Danio rerio: one gene and its partner. The protein of the gene in region 1 purifies or fractionates together with the protein of each later gene. This does not show direct contact. Links are inferred from orthologs where the notes say so. Each region holds a gene or a part of one and is shown in the gene's direction. Other genes may lie near its edges.

Evidence for each region.
Region 2: the proteins of stx3a (region 1) and sybl1 purify together in Homo sapiens (co-immunoprecipitation; 3 studies listed by BioGRID and IntAct, with this or other methods). This does not show direct contact. The link is inferred for Danio rerio from reciprocal best matches to the Homo sapiens genes STX3 and VAMP7.

The regions. Positions count from the first base shown.
Region 1 is NC_133176.1:48,092,627-48,096,420, forward strand, and holds the end of stx3a (uncharacterized protein LOC571872), read left to right. Parts: intron 1-393; coding exon 394-504; intron 505-1,227; exon of another isoform or gene 1,228-1,415; coding exon 1,416-1,493; 3' UTR 1,494-1,501; intron 1,502-2,371; 3' UTR 2,372-2,976; downstream 2,977-3,794. UniProt on the Homo sapiens protein: Potentially involved in docking of synaptic vesicles at presynaptic active zones. Apical receptor involved in membrane fusion of apical vesicles.
Region 2 is NC_133189.1:9,605,752-9,609,586, reverse strand, and holds part of sybl1 (vesicle-associated membrane protein 7), read left to right. Parts: intron 1-2,832; 5' UTR 2,833-2,857; coding exon 2,858-3,003; intron 3,004-3,289; coding exon 3,290-3,347; intron 3,348-3,420; coding exon 3,421-3,558; intron 3,559-3,835. UniProt on the Homo sapiens protein: Involved in the targeting and/or fusion of transport vesicles to their target membrane during transport of proteins from the early endosome to the lysosome. Required for heterotypic fusion of late endosomes with lysosomes and homotypic lysosomal fusion.

The DNA.
Region 1 (3,794 bases):
CTGGGGTGTTATAGACTGTACCAGAAAGCTGAGGATTGGGGGTGGGGGGTTTGGGGGGGGGTTGGCTGGGGGGGGTTGTGAAATTACGGGAGTTTTTAAGGAGAAATAACAAAACGGGAGGGTGGCGGGAGATGGGTCTGAAATACAGGAGACTCCCAGATGAAATGGGAGTGTTGGCAGTTATGTGTTCATAACCTCTTATTAACATGCTGTTAAAAACGCTGTTTGCCATTGACCATAAACAAATTAGCTGAAATCGGTTTTGAACAAGTGAGTAAATGATGACAGCATTTTCAATTTTGGTGGACTATCCCTTTAATGGAGACCTTTTATATGTTGTTTCGCTCAGGTTTGAGATAGATTTAAGCATTTAATATTTATATTTGTCGACAGGGAAGCATGATTGACAGGATTGAGAGCAACATGGACCAGTCGGTGGGTTTTGTGGAAAGAGCTGTGGCTGACACTAAAAAAGCTGCCAAGTTCCAACAGGAAGCACGCAGGGTGAGCTTGAACGAGTACAGCAACTGTGTCATAAAACAAACAATCTTTATCTGTGTATTATGTTCATGGATATAATGAATGGAGAATGGGAATCTGCAAGTTGCGTTGCCAAATATTTTCCAGCAAATGTAAACTAATGCAAATCACCACAGAAAAAAAAGCAGTTTTATTTACAATACATTTATATATATATATATATATATATATATATATATATATATATATATATATATATATATATATTTATTTATTTATTTTGTAGAATTTTTTAATACTTTTATTTATAGATACACAACATTTATACACCTTAGACATACATTATGTAAATACAAACTGTTATTTTTGATGCTATTAGTCACCATTGTTTGACAGCACTAGCTTTATAAACACTTGTTGTGTGTCTGAGTAGCTTAAAACAAGCATTCTGTAATATAATAGTTCTCCAGCGCTAAAATGAACCAACCTATTCGTAAGTGACAGCGTATTAATAAGCTGCTGCAAGAAAACATTTCTATATATAATTTCTTCTCTAACTGTGGTTTGAGCACTTACAGTTTATTGCAAGTCAGTGTATATAATGAAATGATGATAAACCTATAGAGCTCAATAGGATCCATGTTCCCGTTTCCCAAATTTCCAGAATGCATTGCGCTGTGAGGACACATTCCCATTCTGTAAACTACTAGTTTCTAAGATTTTCAAATTGCATTTCATGTTTTGCAGGGTTTTTTTTCTTCTTCTTATTATTATTCATTACCCTTTGATTTCTTCTGTTTTTTTACTTCTCTTCTTGCACTGATGTCTTGTTTCTTCTACGTGATTTCAACTCTGCTTTCTACACATTTCCCAATCATCCTTTCCCTTTGCTTCCCTTCACTGTCTTTATATCCTGATCACTTACACCCCTGCAGAAAAAGATGATGATCATGTTGTGTTGCACAATTCTTGCGGTCATCGGAGGCTCTCTGGTCTACAGCTGGCTGACATAGACTACAAGGTGAATATTAATGATTAAGTTACTTTATGAACAGTACACTACCTGACTTGTCGTTGATCACAGCTGTAAAAGCAACAAATAATAACCTGACTTCTAGTTGATCGTTTGGAAAAGTGGCAGAAGGTAGATTTTTCAGATGAATCATCTGTTGAACTGCATCCCAAACATCACATATACTGCAGAAGACCTACTGGAACCCGCATGGACAAAGAAATCTCACATAAATCAGTCAAGTTGTGCTGCACATTACATTACAAACCACAAGAGAGGACAAATTCTTCAGCAGAATAGCACTCCTTCTCATACTTCAGCCTCCACATCAAAGTTCCTGGAAGCAAAGAAGGTCAAGGTGCTCCAGGATTGGCCAGCCCAGTCACCAGACATGAACATTATTAAGTATGTCTAGGGTAAGATGGGGGAGGCATTGAAAATGAATCTAAAGAATCTTGATGAACTCTGGGAGTCCTGCATGAAAGCTTTCTTTGCCATTTCAGATGACTTTATTAATAAGTGATTTGAGTCATTGCAGAGATGTATGGATGCAGTCCTCCAAGCTCGTGGGAGTCATACACAATATTAACACTTTTTCCACTGCTGTACAGTATTTCTGTTAAGTGACAAGACTTTTGTTTAAGCAAAGTCAGACCTAATTAAATAAATAAAAATCAAAGCATGATCATATTTTATTTGGGTAAAATAAGCGTATTCTAGAGGCCTTTGCCTTTCATAAAAGCCACTACTGATACCAAATGATCAACTAGAAGTCAATTATTTGCTTGTTGTTCCTAAAACTTAGATAGACGAGACTTTTGTCAGGTAGTGTTTGTTGAAAGTTTGTGAGTAACATCCTGTTTTGATTTGTTTTCCCAGAGGAAGACTTTGTCTACTCTTACAAGTTCACAGTGTCTATCAACAAATCAAGAGGAGCATCCTCGTGCCGATGAACAATAAGCATTCCCAAACACACAACATGTTTTCCATTGCTTGTTTATCTCATTTTCCCATCTCTATATTTGTCTTTTACGATTTTCCTGTCTCATCATTTGGCCTTGCGTTATTAGAAGCATCACAGTAAAATGTGGTGTGCAAGCTATCTTTTAGGGTTGTGGTATAAATATTTGCTTTTATTTTTAGTTGGTTTTGGATATAGCCTGTATGAGGATAACATTTTTGTTTTTCGAGGCCTCATTTTTATAACTGACAAGTGAAACATCCTGATGAATACTGGTGCCCGCTTACATTGTGTCTACAGTGTACAAAATTTCTGATAATTAACAGTTTCTGTAATTTGGGATTCACAAGTGTTTTCTGTTTATTTATGGTTGTGAATTGCATTATAGGATGTTGATCTCTGCTCTGTCCACTTTTGATGTTGAAAATTCAACTCTACTGTTTGACAAAGTGGCTTTCATTGACATTTTTGTAGTTTGAAATAATATAATCTATAAGAAATAATGTATAGAGAAATATAAGTCTGTAAAATACCAGAAAATGTTCTGGCAGTTTATTACAAGGTTTTTGTAGCTTTATATACAACACTGACCCAGACAATATATTACTTTAAACTATTAATTGTTAACAAAAGTGATTTTTTTTCTAACTTTTTAAGGTTAAAAGTTGTTGGAAGAAAGATTTAGGTCCCGTAATGCAATTAAAAAACAAATAAACAGGGAAAAATAAAACCCTGAATCACAAAAAATATGAAAAACTGCTAATTTATGGATATTTGTTTACACTGGATGACAGTCATACTTTTAAGTAGTGGTTTTATCTACACTGGATAACAGTAATGCTTTAATAATTAGCAATTCTGTCTACACTGGATGACATAAGCAGTAAATCTCTGACAGTAAACCGATGCCCTGTTTTGCTTCAGACAAAAAGATTTGGATTGTTTGCTCAGACTCTTCCAGTGCAGCATGATTCATGTCACATCCTAAATAGAAAGTGTTAGTCTTTATTACAAAACCCTCTCTGCTGCAGTCGTCACATCAAAGGCTAATTCACCACTCGTTGCCTCTAAATCATGGGTCTCAAACTCAATTCCTGGAGGGCCGCAGCTCTGCACAGTTTTGCTCCAACCCTATCAAACACAGCTGATCCAACTAATGAAGGTGTTCAGAAGCTGTTGGGATTCAATTCAATTCACCTTTATTTGTATAGCGCTTTTACAATGTAGATTGTGTCAAAGCAGCTTCACATAGAAGATCATAGTAAATTGAAACAGTGTCATTCCAGTTGTTTAAGTTCAGTTCTGTTCATTACTGAGAGTCCAAACACTGAAGAGAAAATC
Region 2 (3,835 bases), on another chromosome or scaffold:
TATTTCGTACATTTATACAGTTCTATAAAACTTCCATATTTTTCACAGAAAGATTCTGGCAACCACAGCTGCTGGTATTTTTTCGGAAGTTTAACAGATATTTTACACAATAAGAGTTTGCTAATCAACACTCTCTTGGTGTTGATAATGTTAACACTTTCAAAAGTGTTATTTTTAACACTTATAGTGGTTCCTATATAAACTCTGAGGGAGTGTTAATTTTAACTCTAAGGTAGTTAAATCTACTATCTAAAATTTGCAGTGTACTTTGAATATTCAGTCTGAAATCACATGTGATTATGACTTGAAGACAACATTAGCACTTTATTTGACTGAACAATGTTGTACTTCAGTAGTGATTGGCATTTAGAATTTGCTTACTTTTCTGAAATGTTATTATTAAGGAGAAAGTCAGAATGTGTGAATATTAAACCAACTTTACCTTAATTATATAACGTTGCTGTATTAATGAACTAGTAACTTAAAATAGAATAAATTGTGTAAATGAATGATTAATCAATACAAAACACATTATTGAATAAAGTGAACTTGCATTTTTAGGTTTGAACTGAAAGCAGCTCCCAGCAAGCAGGACTAAGTTTTTTGTTTACATGAATAACACATTTTTTGCATAAGGTTGATTAAAAGTAGTAAAATACAGAAATAAAAACGTACAGAATTTCTATTATTTAGTTTGCTAAAAATGTATTATGTAAATGATTTATGTTCAGTTGTTTAGTCAGCATGCAGAAAAAGGAGACGGGATCAGAGTCAAGTGATTTGATCACAAGCTGGTTTGCTGTTTCCTAGAATCATGACTGAATTCTAGACTATGGTTCAGCAAACTGTTTCCTCAAATGTGTTTCCCCCATTTCCGTCCAATGATTGATGTGCATTTGGTGTGATTAGCTTTTTAATGCTTAGACACTGGCTACAACCTTTAAATGTTAATATAAATACTATTTTAAAAACTATAATATTGTTGTGCTGTTTTTTCTGTGAATGAAAAAATGCCTTTTTAAGTAATAACTGAAACAGAAGTTACGATAGTATTTCCTTCCTTATTGTGATATATAGCCAAAAGATAACGGCTTCTGAATTGAGAGAAAAAAAAAGATGTATGGCAGGACTTGATTTTGTTCATCATAATTGATTATAGGTTACAATGGCAGATGATAATAATAATAATAAAAATTATAATAAAAACAATAATGCTGGTAATGTGCCCAAATTAATAATTAATTACACATTTTAAGAATTGGGAATATTGTAAATAATTTAACGAGGGGCTCACAATGTCTGTACAATTTTCAGCTTTCTTCAAAATATCTATATGTTTTTAAAGAGTATTTATAAAAAAAAATTACAGTATCTGAAAAGAGTAGCATTTTTGAAAGTTTTGTTTTCTGTCATGTTTGATGTACCTGGTTACAAATTTAAAATGAAAAACCAAATGGCTTACCATTTTGCAACAACATTTACATATAGTTGAAAATAATTAGCTCTCCTGTGAAATTTTGATTCTGTATTTATTGTAAGTCTTAATCATTTTAATTTGGCTAGATTGTGTATAGTTTTTTAAATGTACAAACATTGTTAAAGATAGTTTAAATAGCTCTATATGTGATGGTTTTCTAGGGAAACTAACTGTATTCGGGTTCAGAAATTGAATAATTACAATGAAAAAAGGCTTTTCTTACTTTGCTTTGTCTCGTTTAGTTCAAATATTTAAAAAAATGTAAGAGCAAGTTGTTTTGTTTTCACCTTCAGAATATTACATTTTTACTTTAAACAAGCTAAGTTATCTGCCTGTGGGGTAAGCAAAATAATCTTGTTTTCACTTTGAAATGTAGATATTTGGACTAATCCATTTTTTAAAAATAAATTCTATATAAATACAGTAATTAAATACATTTCTGTAGGACTTGGTCAACTATAATTCAGACTCACCATTGCGTATCTTGCGATTTGACTATTGTGAATGTGCACATTGCCATACTGATGCTGAAACGATTTGTTGTGTACAATTATATTGCAAAACAGCTAATAAGGACTGCCTTTTTGTCAAAGACAAAAGCAAATAGTTATATTAAAAGTAGATATATTAGTTACACCATTATTTAAGTGAAGTTTCACAAACTAATTTCAAGAGGAGCATGTGATATTATTGATCATGGCTGACTCTCATCTGTAATCATTAGTAAACCAATCGGATTATTCCAAACTCACTATAAATATCCTGTCTAGCCTCACTCCCTTATCTTCGTTTTTTGAAGAATCCCCCTCATCCACCCCATCTCCCACTTTTCTCCTTAACCAGGTGGAGCTCTTAAGAGCTACCTGATCTTTTACACCCTTACATGATCATTGACCAGACGGGATCCCTGGGCTCAATTATCTCATTTATCTACCGGGACAGCATGCCAAACCTGCTAATAGCGTCAAGCAATATCGAAGTGTGAACTCTTGAAACCATCTTCTCTCCTATTAACATCACTTGGGAAATATTTAATAGAATTAAAATTTTACTGAATAACTTGGTCTTCAACTGTATATATCTTGTCATTGCAATACCTATACTGGTTGAATTTGATACAAGTTCCTGAACAATACTTTTTTTCATACCAATTTAATAAAATTTGATTTAATAACATTACCTAAAACATTTTTTCAAAGCCAAACTCTCAATAGCACGAAGAAACAAAATGTAACCAAACCAAATAAACTAACTGCAATCAAAATGTAACCAAACCAAAGCTGAATCAGTCCAAATAAGGTCAATGATGTATGTTTTAATTTACTTTGACATGAGGGTGTTTTTAAATCTTCCAGTGTTCGATAAGGTTTATCAGTGGTGATGGCTATCCTGTTTGCCGTGGTGGCTCGAGGATCAACCGTTCTAGCTAAGCATGCGTGTTTCTCTGGCAACTTTCTGGAAGTGACTGAACAGATCCTGGCCAAAATCCCATCTGAAAACAACAAGCTCACATATTCTCACGGCAGGTACAACTGACATTTTGCTAATGCAGTGTTTCCCAACTCTGTTCCTAAAGGCACACCAACAGTACACATTTCTAACCTCTTCCTAATCAAACACACCTCAATCAACTCATCAGAACGTTAGGAGAGAAAACCTGAAATGAATAGGTCAGATAAGGGGGACATCCAAAATATGTACTGTTATTGTGTCTCCAGGAACAGGGTTGGGAAACACTTCTAATGTGCTGTGAATACTTTACCAGCGATTCTTTGTGCTGATTTAAAGTGTTTCTATTGTGTTTTCTCTCAGCTATCTTTTCCACTACATCTGCCATGAGCGGATTGTCTATCTGTGCATCACTGATGATGTGAGTATCCGTCACATGATCTCAGCTTCTCTCCAGCTCCATTCACACACTTAACCGTTTGTCTCTCTTTCAGGAGTTTGAGCGGTCCCGTGCGTTTGGCTTCCTCAATGAGGTAAAAAAGAGATTTCAGACCACATATGGCTCTCGAGCACAGACCGCACTGCCCTACGCCATGAACAGTGAGTTTTCCAGCACACTGGCTGCACAAATGGTACGTGCGTCTGCCATCTTTGTATGTGTTTTGTACACTTTCAATAGGGGTGCACCTATATGGAATTATTGACCGATACAGATAATCGATGACTCTTTAGAATCGGAGGCCGATATACTTTTTAAGATATTTTTATCCTTGCCATGATGACAGTAAATAATATTTTACCAAATAGTTTTGAAGATACTATTAAGCTTAAAGTGACATTTAAAGGCTTGATTAGGTTAATCAGGTTAACTAGGAGAGTTAGGGTACTTAGAGATAGTTATTGTATAAC